Linked DNA regions of Caenorhabditis elegans. The protein of the gene in region 2 interacts with the protein of the main gene of each other region in a pairwise test. Each region holds a gene or a part of one and is shown on either strand. Other genes may lie near its edges. The genes, in order: C02B8.3 and mom-1.

Region 1 (3,503 bases), 1.8 Mb from region 2:
TTAAGCGGGATAAATACTGAAAATTGTGATGTTCTCAATTCAAGGATTATTTGAAAAACACAATTAAATTATTGGAATTACTTCCGCAAAACTACAAGATTAAATTTCAATAAAGATGTTTTAGAAGATTTTTTTTTCAGGATTTCTTGGAAGCAAAGTGAAGAACAAATTTAGTTCATTTCAAGTTCGTTCTGTATAATTTTAATTTTTATGTTTTCAAAGTTTTTTATTATTGGAATTGATAAGTCTAATTTAAATTTTTATGTATTAATGTAAACTTGGACTTTCATCGACATTATGCTCTGCCTCAATGCTTTTCTTATTCTGGTTTTCCCATTAAGAACATAGCCTATCCACGTCACAGTAATGACCTTATTGATTACTAAAACAAGTTAAGCGAAAATTTTTTGTTGGCGTCTGTAAAACAAATCTGTTCGTAGTTGTTATAATTATAAGAAACAACTTTTTTTATAGTTTGGAAAACAACTCCCCATGCAAATTCTTTATTATGTACCCCTGAAAATTTAGCAATAAAAACTGCGGTAACAGTTCACATTTTTATTCTGATTGTTTGTAGCCTTACTGCAACAATTCTTGTGAAAATTATAAATAAATTAAAGGAAAAAGGGCATTCTTTGAACGACAGTACAGGAGAATTGAGAGAGTGAAGATGTTTGGAACATTCTGGAAGCACGAGTGAGGGCACGGTTTCGAACAACAAGGAGTAGGAGGATTGGAGCACAAATTAGAAGTTAACAGCTGGGATTGGGCCCTTGTTGAAGTCAAGAAAATCCGTCAACGTTTTCGGCAGGTTGCAACCGTCTCTTTGACACAAACATCTCAGGCTGACTTGGGATGGGTGGTTGGCTTTGTGGAACTGGAAGGCCTGAAATAAATGTCTCATTAAAATCTGTTTCAGTGTTTCTTTCTGTATTGATAGCTTACCTCTTGTAGACAGACATTTAAAACAGCGTATCCTGGAAGTTGGTTGGCAAACATTGTCAAAATAGTGGTGTAGTCGTCGCTGTCCATTTGAACTCCATTCACGTGGAACTTGTTGTAATCTTTTGGGGATGGCATGTAGCTACATAGTTGGTACACGGGGTCACTCATTGTATGACCTTTGGAAAGGTCGTCGGAGTCAATGGGCTCCCAGCAACGGATGAGCTTGGTGAGTTGATCTTGGGCATCTTGGACAGCGTTCATGGCGGTTGAACGGGAACCGAAGGCAGATGCCAAGACGAGAGAAGATATAAGGATTTTTCTCAACATCGAAGAAGCACGAAAGAGTTAAGCTGTAAAAGAATTCAGCTTTTGGCGAATACTGTTCTCAGCGCTGTTTGAATATGAAAGCTGAAAGGGCGGAGCAAGAATTCCATAAGGCGGGGCTTACAGAGTCTTTGGAAAAGAGACGTATAAGATATAAGAGAAACAAAAGTGCAGATTGAGTGACGAGGAGGATTGCAGGGATGAGCATCATATGAAATGAAACATCCCGCCCACTTTCGAAGTGTACATGGCACAAAACCGGTTACAGTGTGTACCTGGCTCTGACGTTGCCACTCCGTGACTGACACGCAACAGAATCTGGAAAAAATTTGAGAAAATTATCACTTGTTATGTCAGTATCCAAAAAAAATGTTACATATCTAATATATAATCAAGCGTTCATGTGTACACAGTCGAAGCCAATTTCTAATGCATTAGTTTTTGGCTGAACAGAAGTCGAGACAGCTTTGGATGAGCTCAGATGTTTTTGGGCTAATACGTCACTATATTAAGTTTAAGAAACTATTTGATACAAAATTTATAGAGTTAGTTTGATAGTTAAAGGAAAGAATCCAATTTCGGGGGAACATTTGAATTGTACTAACATCTAGAAACTCATTATTTTCAAAACGAATTTTCCAAAGTGGTGTAGTATAGGATGAATGATATGTGTTATGTTGGTTAAACGAGAAACATTCTGAATCTTTTTAAAAACTATGATTAATTTTCTCCCAGAAAACAGTGTCCTTTTTTGCAGTACCCATTTTTGCCATTTTAAGTGATACGAGTTGTGTACGAGACCTTACGATGAACTACACAATAAGCATGAAGTGTTGTGGTGCATTATATTGAGACAAACTCAATCTTACATTCATTTCAAAAATTATTGATGCACATATTTTGTTAATTAACGCGTTTCATAAAATATGTACACACTCATATATTTTATCAATTTCGCACAATGTTAATAGTTTCAAACAAACTTCCCATTTGTGATAATTTAGCTTCAATGAAAAAATCTTAATGTGCCCCTTTTTTATCTAACGAAAATCTGAGAAATGTTAACCGAAATTCAAAAAATCAAATCTTCTTTTCATTAGATTTTTTAAACTTTACCTAATTAATCCCTAAAAACCTTTTGCAATTGAAAGACTGAGAATAGAAATAACATGCGTTGATAAGCTTAGTTATTAATGTTTCTGAAGCTTTTCTAAGTAACCTCATAAGTGGCTTTTTTTCGTTTTGAGAGAAAATTAAATACTGCAATTTAGTAGCCTATTTTTACGTGATTTAAAAAATATGAAGAAACGTCAAAGCATATTACTGTTTTATCTGAATTTCTAAATTAATAAGCATGGTGCTCACAAAACAAAATTAATCATTTCGAAAGTCATGAAATAACGAATCTGCATTTGACCAGCGTGTGTTTTGAAAAGCAGGCATAGGAAGCCTTGATAATGTTCCATTCAATAAATTTATTAGGGCTGAACTTGTGCAAGAATCTGCAGATAAATGCCGATTATTGACTCCGACAACCTTTCCAAGGGCTATACAGCGAGTGACCCCTTCTTAGATTTTGAGAAAAATCCTAATATCTTCTCTCGTCTTGGCATCTGCCTTCGGTTCCCGTCCAACCGCCATGAACGCTGTCCAAGATGCCCAAGATCAACTCACCAAGCTCATACGTTGCTGGGAGCCCATTGACTCCGACGACCTTTCCAAGGGCTATACAATGAGTGACCTCGTGTACCAAGTTAGTAGCTACGTGCCATCCCCAGAAAGCTATAGTACCGTGTAAACGAAGTTCAGATAGCCAGCGCCGACAACATCAACATATTTTAAAAGTGTTTCTATGAGACACTCATTTCAAGCCTTCCAGTTCCACAAAGCTAATCATCCATCTCAAGTGAGCATGCATGTTTGTGCAAAAGAGACGGTTGCAATTTACCAAAGACGTTGACGGATTTCCTGGATTTTAATATGACCTCAATTCCATCTGTTGGTTTCTAACACGTGTTTTCGGTTCTCCGATCCCCCTAGTCCGTGTCGTCCAATTCCCTTTCTTTTGATGTACTTCCAGAATGTTCCGAACATCTTCAGTCTCTCAATTTTTCTTTATTGTCGTTCAATTAATACTATGTTTCCTTCAATATTTTTACAATTTTAACAAAATTTGTTTCAATAAGGCTATAAAAAAATCTGAATAAAAATGTGAACCGTTACCGCAGTTTTTA
Region 2 (7,853 bases):
GCCGTGGCATTTTTTAATGTTGGCTATCAACTACCCAGAAAAAGACGCGAACTCATACACTCTTTTGGTTTTTATTTTATTTACCAAACTAATTTTGATATTTGGTAGACGCTTGGAGAGGAGTATTTTTGTCAGATCTTACGTGCATAGGTGTCGCCACGCAAACGACGAGTTACTGCAGTTGGTTTCAACTTATGGACCGTCACTGTTTCGTTACATAAAATGTATATGTGGCTAGAAACGTGAGAAGTCTAGACCTTTATCATGAGTAAATTGGAAATTGAAATGAATTATTAGCTAATAGAGAAAGAATGTGAATTCTTACTGATTGTTGCAGTTTTCTAAAAGTTGAGATATTTTGATAATAATTTTCACTCTTTGCTCCTGATTTTAGACATGCAATTTCATGACACGCCACATTCCCTGTCATCTTTTTAAAATTGGTTATTTGACCGTTTTCGTGCTTACAACGCAAGTTTATATTTCAACGCTTCTAATATTTTTTAAGCAAACTAGTGTAAAACCAAAGTGTTCTTTTATTATTTTCACATGGATGTTAATGTGTTTCACAGTGTGATTAACTTTCAAGTAAATACATTTTGCAAATCAAAATGTATGCTTCTGTACAACGCGGAATGAATAATTCATAGGATGAAAAGATCGTAACTAAAACAATTGCAAAGAAAAATTCTTAACCGAGTTTGAGTCATTAAACAGAAAAAATAGATTTTTAGTTTTAGCTCGTAAGAGAACATGGCCAGGACTGAGAACTAAAGCATAGAAAACGGTTTTGTTGAAAAATGTTGACAACTGAATTTCAGCTTTTCAAAACCTCAGATTATTTTAGACAGGGCAAGAAATAGGAAAGAAATCATGAAACTCGAATAGTAATGAGATCCCCAAATCTTCCAGGCGTGATCAAAAGGATAGCCAATTGCAGAATAGTCGTCGGTGAACGTCATTCCAGTGAACACAAGATGGTACATGGAAAGCATAAGGAAGAACAAATTGATGATCAAAGCACGTCCTGTTTTCTGTAAAATAAGTTAACAATTTTAGTGTTTCCTTCAAAAAAGGAATTAATTTGGAAAGAAACCATGATATTTTACCAAATGGAAACTTGAATGAAACGTGTGGAGCAATACAAGAAATGAGCTGTGATTATGAGCCTGGTGGCGTGGCTCGGATTTGGTTTTAATTAGTGTCCGGCAATGTGAAACTTTTGAAATTAAACAGCCATATCTCATAATCTAACGATATGAATCAAAAATTCTTTTAGAAATGTAGAACAACGTTTGTTAGAGCTAAAATAAATTTTCTAATTGCAGTTCGAAAAAGGTCTCAAAAGTGTCATAAAATTGTCATATGCAGCTAAATTGTTTTGAAAATTTGTTTTTGGTAAGCTACAATTTACATGCACTATTCGACGTCTTTTTAAAAAATTTTAGACAGAAGTAAATGTTAATTCTAAATTAAACGAACAATATCCTACATTTCAATGGTTTTTTTTTCTAAAAGTTCAAATTAGCATATTGAAATAAGCAGTTTCGAAGAAGACTTTTCCACACAACCTAACTTTAAAAAATGTGTTATAACTCAGGCTTTGAAAATATTCTGTTATCTTCAAGATTTTTTTTTTGATTTTAATATTCTCTTTACATTTTAATATTTATCTTAACTACGTCTTGGGCTAAATGGCCACTTAGTGTTTTGACCATTGCCTAGTTAGTTTTATTCCAAATATGTAGATTTTTCCTAGAAATTTGATTTTTTTCTGGGTTTGTTCATTCAAAATTCTATTGCTACTTTGAATGAAAATAAAACGTAAAATGAAACAAGTATCATGATTTTGTTGTTATTTTTTGAAACTCACTGAACATGTAGTAGTAAAACAAAGTATGTTTCAAATTACAAACATTAAACGTTATCATAATATCAAGTCAAAAAAGTCTAAATTCAGAAAAGTAAACTTTGACTTGGAACGTATACCCTTTCTGACAAAAAACTATTTATAACGTCATGTTTTGATCATAACGTTTCATAACGTTCAAAATTATTGTTAGCTCAATTTATTTTGGACAACTCTTGCAAATTCTTAAATTTATAAACCATGCGATATTTGCAAACTCCAAATGTGTCCAAAAAAGGGCCCGTGGTTAATTTATTCGTGTTTTATCGTGTTTCTAACAGTTAAGCATACTAATTTGCGTGCCCTACTAAATAAGCGAAAGGCGGTAAATCTTCCCTGCGCGATACCTATCTATGGTGACCCCCTGCGCCAAATGTAAATGGGCAATCGATTGGGTGTCCCTTCGCTTAAAATAATTACTCACGTTTGAGTGTCTGTGCTTGCAGGAAAGACTGTTTGAACGGACAGGGCAGGCTTTGGCAGCAACACACATTGAGTATCGGGCAGAAAGTCGTTTTCGGAAAACTGAAAAAAAAATCTTAAACTATACAAGTGGAGTAGAGACATTTTGCAGTAACTTTTGAAATATATAAAATTACATGTATTGTTTCCATATAACATAGATAAAAGTTACTTTAAATTCAACCTCAATTTGACCGCAAAATCTCTTAATTCACTTACCAGTTTCCGAATAGGCAATAAAACCAAGAGCCAATAGTGTAATGGTCATTTGGAAGTCAAGACCGTGCAAAAGTGAGCTGACTGCAAACGTGAAGAAAACGTTACATGCAGTGGAATTGAACAACCGCCTTTTGAAAATATCTGAAAAATATTATATCTGAAAAAACGAAATGTATCGTTTGTTTCCAATTTTAAGTTTGTTGATTAAAAAAAAAAGCTCTTCAAATAATTAAAATGAATCTGCTTTATAGATCTTACGCAAGCATTAACAGTGAATGAGGCAAAAATGGACAAGTAGCGGAATATCAGTAGGTGACTATCGGGTGACTATCGGGTGAGTAGCGGGTGATAGCGGGCAAGTAGGTGAGAAATAACGGGCGACGTTTTTCAAATAATTTGAGGTTAGATGGCCCGCTATTCACCCGCAACATCCCACTGTTGCCCGACCCCAATAGCCTGCTGCAACCCGCTAATTGCCCGATGTCACCTGATTGCCCTCTATTGGCCGTTGTTGTCCGATGCCAACAACGAACTATGGAAGAAAACCCTAATCAAATAACAATACGTAGAAGATTTCTTCAAAGTCAATAAAAAATAGTGTATTTGAACATGACTTCATGTATTATATGTTGATTAGATTCACTTCCGATCATTTGTTAAAATAAATTTACTCACTTTCATGCAGGAATGTATGAAATGGTTTGTTCCATTCTGAGACCGTTTGTAATGTTGATCTGGAGAATTCAATATTCAATGGATTGGCAACGACTACATCTGATCCTAACATCAACACAAATGCTGAAAAAACATGTCAGTTTATCTTCAACAGACAAGAATGTTTGGCTACCTTGAGTGCTTAGACAGACAAAATAGTGACTGAACCGGAACGACATAGCTGTCAGAGCATCTTCCATAAATTGAGATGAAGGTTCGAAGAATTCAAAATGACACGAAGATATGATTGCCAGAGTGATCGCATTGAAGATTGCAAGGAGAGACTGAATAATGAAGCCGAGCTCATTCTAAAAATAGTGATATATTATTCTTATTATTACCAATGAAATCTCGGGTTTTTAATTGAAGGAGGACTCACGGGTCAATTTTTTATTATTATTCTTCAAAAGTCCCCGAAAAACTAAACGTCATAATTGAAGTTCTTACAAATTGCTAAAAACGTTTAGGGGTTTCGAAACTTTTTAAAAAATTGCCAAATTTTAATTGAAGTTTCCTATTTTGCTGACAGTTCTGTTTTACAGCAATCGGAGGCTGGTTTGTAGTTATGTTACACTTTTTATTCAAAAGTAGCGCTCCTATAAGGTCAACTCTGAAATCAAATTCAAAACTGTAGCCATGGTTTAAAATTTTCTGATTAAAAATTTTGAAACGTATTTAACACTTTGACACTTAGAACTTACTAATAGTCTTACGACTTAGTTCCCAAAACTTCACAACAAACCTCAGATCCTGTCCACTTTTTGTCTCTCATTTTGAAAAACTGCTCAAAACTCAAATAGGGCCCGAAAATGATGAACGGTGGGAAGTAAATGTACTCAACATAACTGGAAAACTGAACAAATCGGAATTTGTTGCTATTCGCTTTTTCCAGATTGAAGGCAACCGTGGTCAGTCTCATTATATGGATCATCAAAATTCCACGAATGGACAAAAAGTAGTCTTCGGATCTGTAGTGTCGGCAGAAGTTTTGCCTAAAAATTTTTTAATTTGTCCCACAAATTTTACAAACGCTTGACTTATAAAAAAAATACTTACAATGCAATCAGAAGAGAGATGTTCCCTGCAAGAATGATGTATCCACTAAATTGTTTGATGGCCAGTGCAAGCGATATCAAACTGAACATGTTGTAAATGATAGCCGATTGTAGGTGATTTCTTGAAAACCACATAACTGTGAAAGTACTGGCGAAGACATGTACATAGACACGAACCGTTGTTGAAATTGCTACAAAAAGGGGAATTAATTTGCTAAAAGACTGAAATTGACCAGTTTTTGAAAAAATCACACAAAACTGATTTACTACTATGATTTCTTAAATTTTGCAACTATAAAAATACTCAGTAACTTTTGAATTCCCGAACGAATGAATGACTTGGTTTCGAAATTTTCACGTTTTCCTTCTAAAATAATAGGTTTAGTATGTTTTTCAATACATACATAATTTGAAACATCGGTTATCAAATTATGAAACATTTTTCTGTGGATAAAATTTTCTATCCAGTAGGAAACTCTGTTAATTATTTAGTTTGTTAATTAGTTTATTAGTAATTAGTTAATTATTTATTAATTTAGTTAATTATTAGTTAATAGTAATTAGTTAATTAGTTTATAAAACCGCACTACTAAAAGAGTATGCAGATGTAAAAACCACATCTGTGGTGCTAAAATGACCAGATATCATGTTAAAACTTTTCAAAAAATTTTAGAACCTTTTTTCTGACTGTCAAAATGTGGCAATTTTTGAGTTTTCGCCAATATTCGAGATAAATATAGCACTGTCGCATGCTCGAATCCCTACAATGTTTAAATATTAATGTTTGAAACAAGAACATAAAATTCAAAGGAAATTTTTTCAATAGACAACTTTTAAAGATGGATGCAGAAACTGAGTTTTTACCACTTATTGAAACAAAATAAGAAGTTTCGTAAAGTGCTAATATAATAGTTGGCTATTTTTGCACCATAGAAGTCGTTTTTAACAATTTCCGCACTGGCGTTACTCCACTTAAGACTACCGTCTCACCATGGAGCTCTTATCTCTAGCTAGATCAGTCTTACTTTGTGAAAATTTTAGTCATTTTTTTTTTGGCAAGATTAATAAAGCAAGCACATGTGTTTTCCAATTTGAACATAACAACAAATTAGAAACAAATTTGTTTGAAACAAAGTTTTTAAAACATTTTGTTAGGTATTTTTGTCTCAGTTTATATTTTTATCAAAACTTACGTATATGTTTGATGAATTTGAATGCAACGACCAAACATATCAACTTTGAAATTGTGAGAAATGTTGCATTTGCCACTTGTGTCGAGCACTCTCCAAGCGATCCATCTTCTAATAATTCGAATTCTTCATACCCGTGACCATTATCCATTTTCTGAAAATTTTTGAAATTGATGAAATATTAACGATTACCAAACGGCAAAAAAACTAAAAAGCTAGAAAAAACCTAGAATTAACCCAGAAAACCCAATTCAAACCAAAACAAAAACAACTGTCTGTACGAGTGAAATAGAGCGAATTTGCATAGTTCTTGCGTCTAACAAAAGGGGACAAATGTAAACGAGGCTACGCCGGAATGTGGGGAGAGGTCACACACAACAGATGTGCCTTGGACATGCAACCAAAGTTTTATGGTCGGATCGGTCAAGTGAAGTACATTTAAGCGTAACATGGTAAATCAAACAAATGGAACCAAAAAAAGTATAGTTTTGTTGGGGGAAGATTTGAGTGTCCCTAAAAGAATTAAAGTTTTATTTCGGAGATTGCGGTTCATTTTTACAACGGTCAGCACTATTGTTTGATGAGTTCATTTTACAGATATGTGATGAAATTACAAATTACATATTTAAAATGAAAAAAGACAAGATAACAGTTTTTGCAAAAAATAATGTTTAAGATCATCTCTTGTTTTCTCAATAATAGAGAGCAATAAAAAACCATTTTCCAAAAAAAAAAAAATGAAATTAGCTGCACTTTCTCGTCCGCGAGAAGCTATTTTTCTTCATCTCAACAGCAAACCAACAACTCGCAGAACACCCCCCCCCCCCCCGCTTCACAGGAACACCTCGCGGGGAGGCAACCAGTTTGTCAATGGGTGAGAGAGAAAATGTATGTATATTCACTTGCGTCTCTTACTCAAATGCCGTACGGGGGTATAGCTCAGGGGTAGAGCGCTCGCTTTGCATGCGAGAAGTCTGGGGTTCGATTCCCCATACCTCCAGATATTTTTTTATTTTTCAAAATGATTTTTTCACTTGTCCAATTTATTCCATTTCGAGAATGTTTTTTGCACTTTTTTTAAAATTCAACTATGGGGAAACAGTTCTGAAATAGCAAGCATTAATTATTGTTCTAAAAGTGCGGCGATTTGACAGAAATTTTCATTTTCGGCCATCTGCCGAAACTAAACTCAATTTGCCAAATACTTTTTAAGGGATTTTTCATAAGCAAAACATTTACAATTGTAACCTGTTTCCTGTTTTTTTATATTTTTCAGTCTACCAATTTTTTTGCAAAATCTCAAACTTCCACAATCATTCAAACCTAAAAGGCGATTTCCAAATAGGACGTTTGCCAAAAAATATGATTTGTCGCCCCTGCGATAAACTTGTATTTCTTCACTGATATTTCTCAAAATTCTCCCCTTTTTTGAATTCAAATTTTGGAGAAAAATAAAATAAAAAAATAAAGATTTTTCTGTAACCCTGTGAAAGTTGTGAAAACCGCAAAAATCACATCAAAATACCTTCACCTCTAATTTTTCAGCAGTCAGTTCCTATTTGCCACAATGTCCCGCAGCAAATAATTGATCAGACAAGCATGATACTCGAGCAACTTTACAATGGGAACCCTTGAAAAGACCCCAATCAATCAATACATTGCGTGTCAGCTGGTGAAAGAATGCCGTCTTGCAAGAACTCAAGCGGATTTCTCTTTTAAAATTTTCATAGTACCAAATCACATGAATTAAATGCGATTTCTACTACTACTCGCCATCTCCATTACCTACGCGTCGGCCCTATCTTGTCCGGAAGTTACTCTATCACAACGGCCGAAACATTGCAAAAAAGAGTGTATAGCAGACGAAGATTGTAAAAGAAACAAAAGATGTATGTGCGACGGAGAATGTGGCTTGAGCTGTGTGAACCCAAGTGAGTGATAAAAATATCTTGTCTATTGAGCAATATAAAAAATGAACTTTTTTGTTTTTATTCAGTTGCAATGTGCCACCCACTTCCAAATATTGAAAATGGATTTATACGAACTGCTGGTGATTTGCGATTTGGATCAAATGCAGAATATGGATGCAACAAGGGATATATACTAGTTGGTGCCAGTCAGAGAAGATGTCAGGCTAACAAAGAATGGAGTTCTTCACAACCTGTTTGCAGGTTACAATGTATTTTTTCAAGTTCCTTATTTAAAAAAATTATGTTTACGGGTTCAAAATAAAATAAGAAGATTTTTTAAGTGCACAAATAGTTAAACCTAAGTTTTTTGAAAAAACAATATAAAGATATAACA

What was found.
Region 1: the proteins of mom-1 (region 2) and C02B8.3 interact in a two-hybrid assay, tested with the Caenorhabditis elegans proteins (one large-scale study listed by BioGRID).

Annotation. Positions count from the first base shown.
Region 1 is NC_003284.9:8,137,285-8,140,787, reverse strand, and holds C02B8.3 (DUF5354 domain-containing protein), read right to left. Parts: upstream 1,312-3,503; 5' UTR 1,207-1,311; coding exon 946-1,206; intron 887-945; coding exon 746-886; 3' UTR 545-745; downstream 1-544. Other genes in the region: C02B8.7 (uncharacterized protein), read left to right, coding at 2,909-3,067.
Region 2 is NC_003284.9:6,290,974-6,298,826, reverse strand, and holds mom-1 (Protein-serine O-palmitoleoyltransferase porcupine), read right to left. Parts: upstream 5,716-7,853; 5' UTR 5,701-5,715; coding exon 5,553-5,700; intron 4,551-5,552; coding exon 4,361-4,550; intron 4,297-4,360; coding exon 4,047-4,296; intron 3,613-4,046; coding exon 3,438-3,612; intron 3,389-3,437; coding exon 3,266-3,388; intron 2,732-3,265; coding exon 2,591-2,731; intron 2,435-2,590; coding exon 2,334-2,434; intron 1,035-2,333; coding exon 834-1,034; 3' UTR 522-833; downstream 1-521. Other genes in the region: Protein lev-9, read left to right, coding at 7,300-7,480, 7,546-7,728.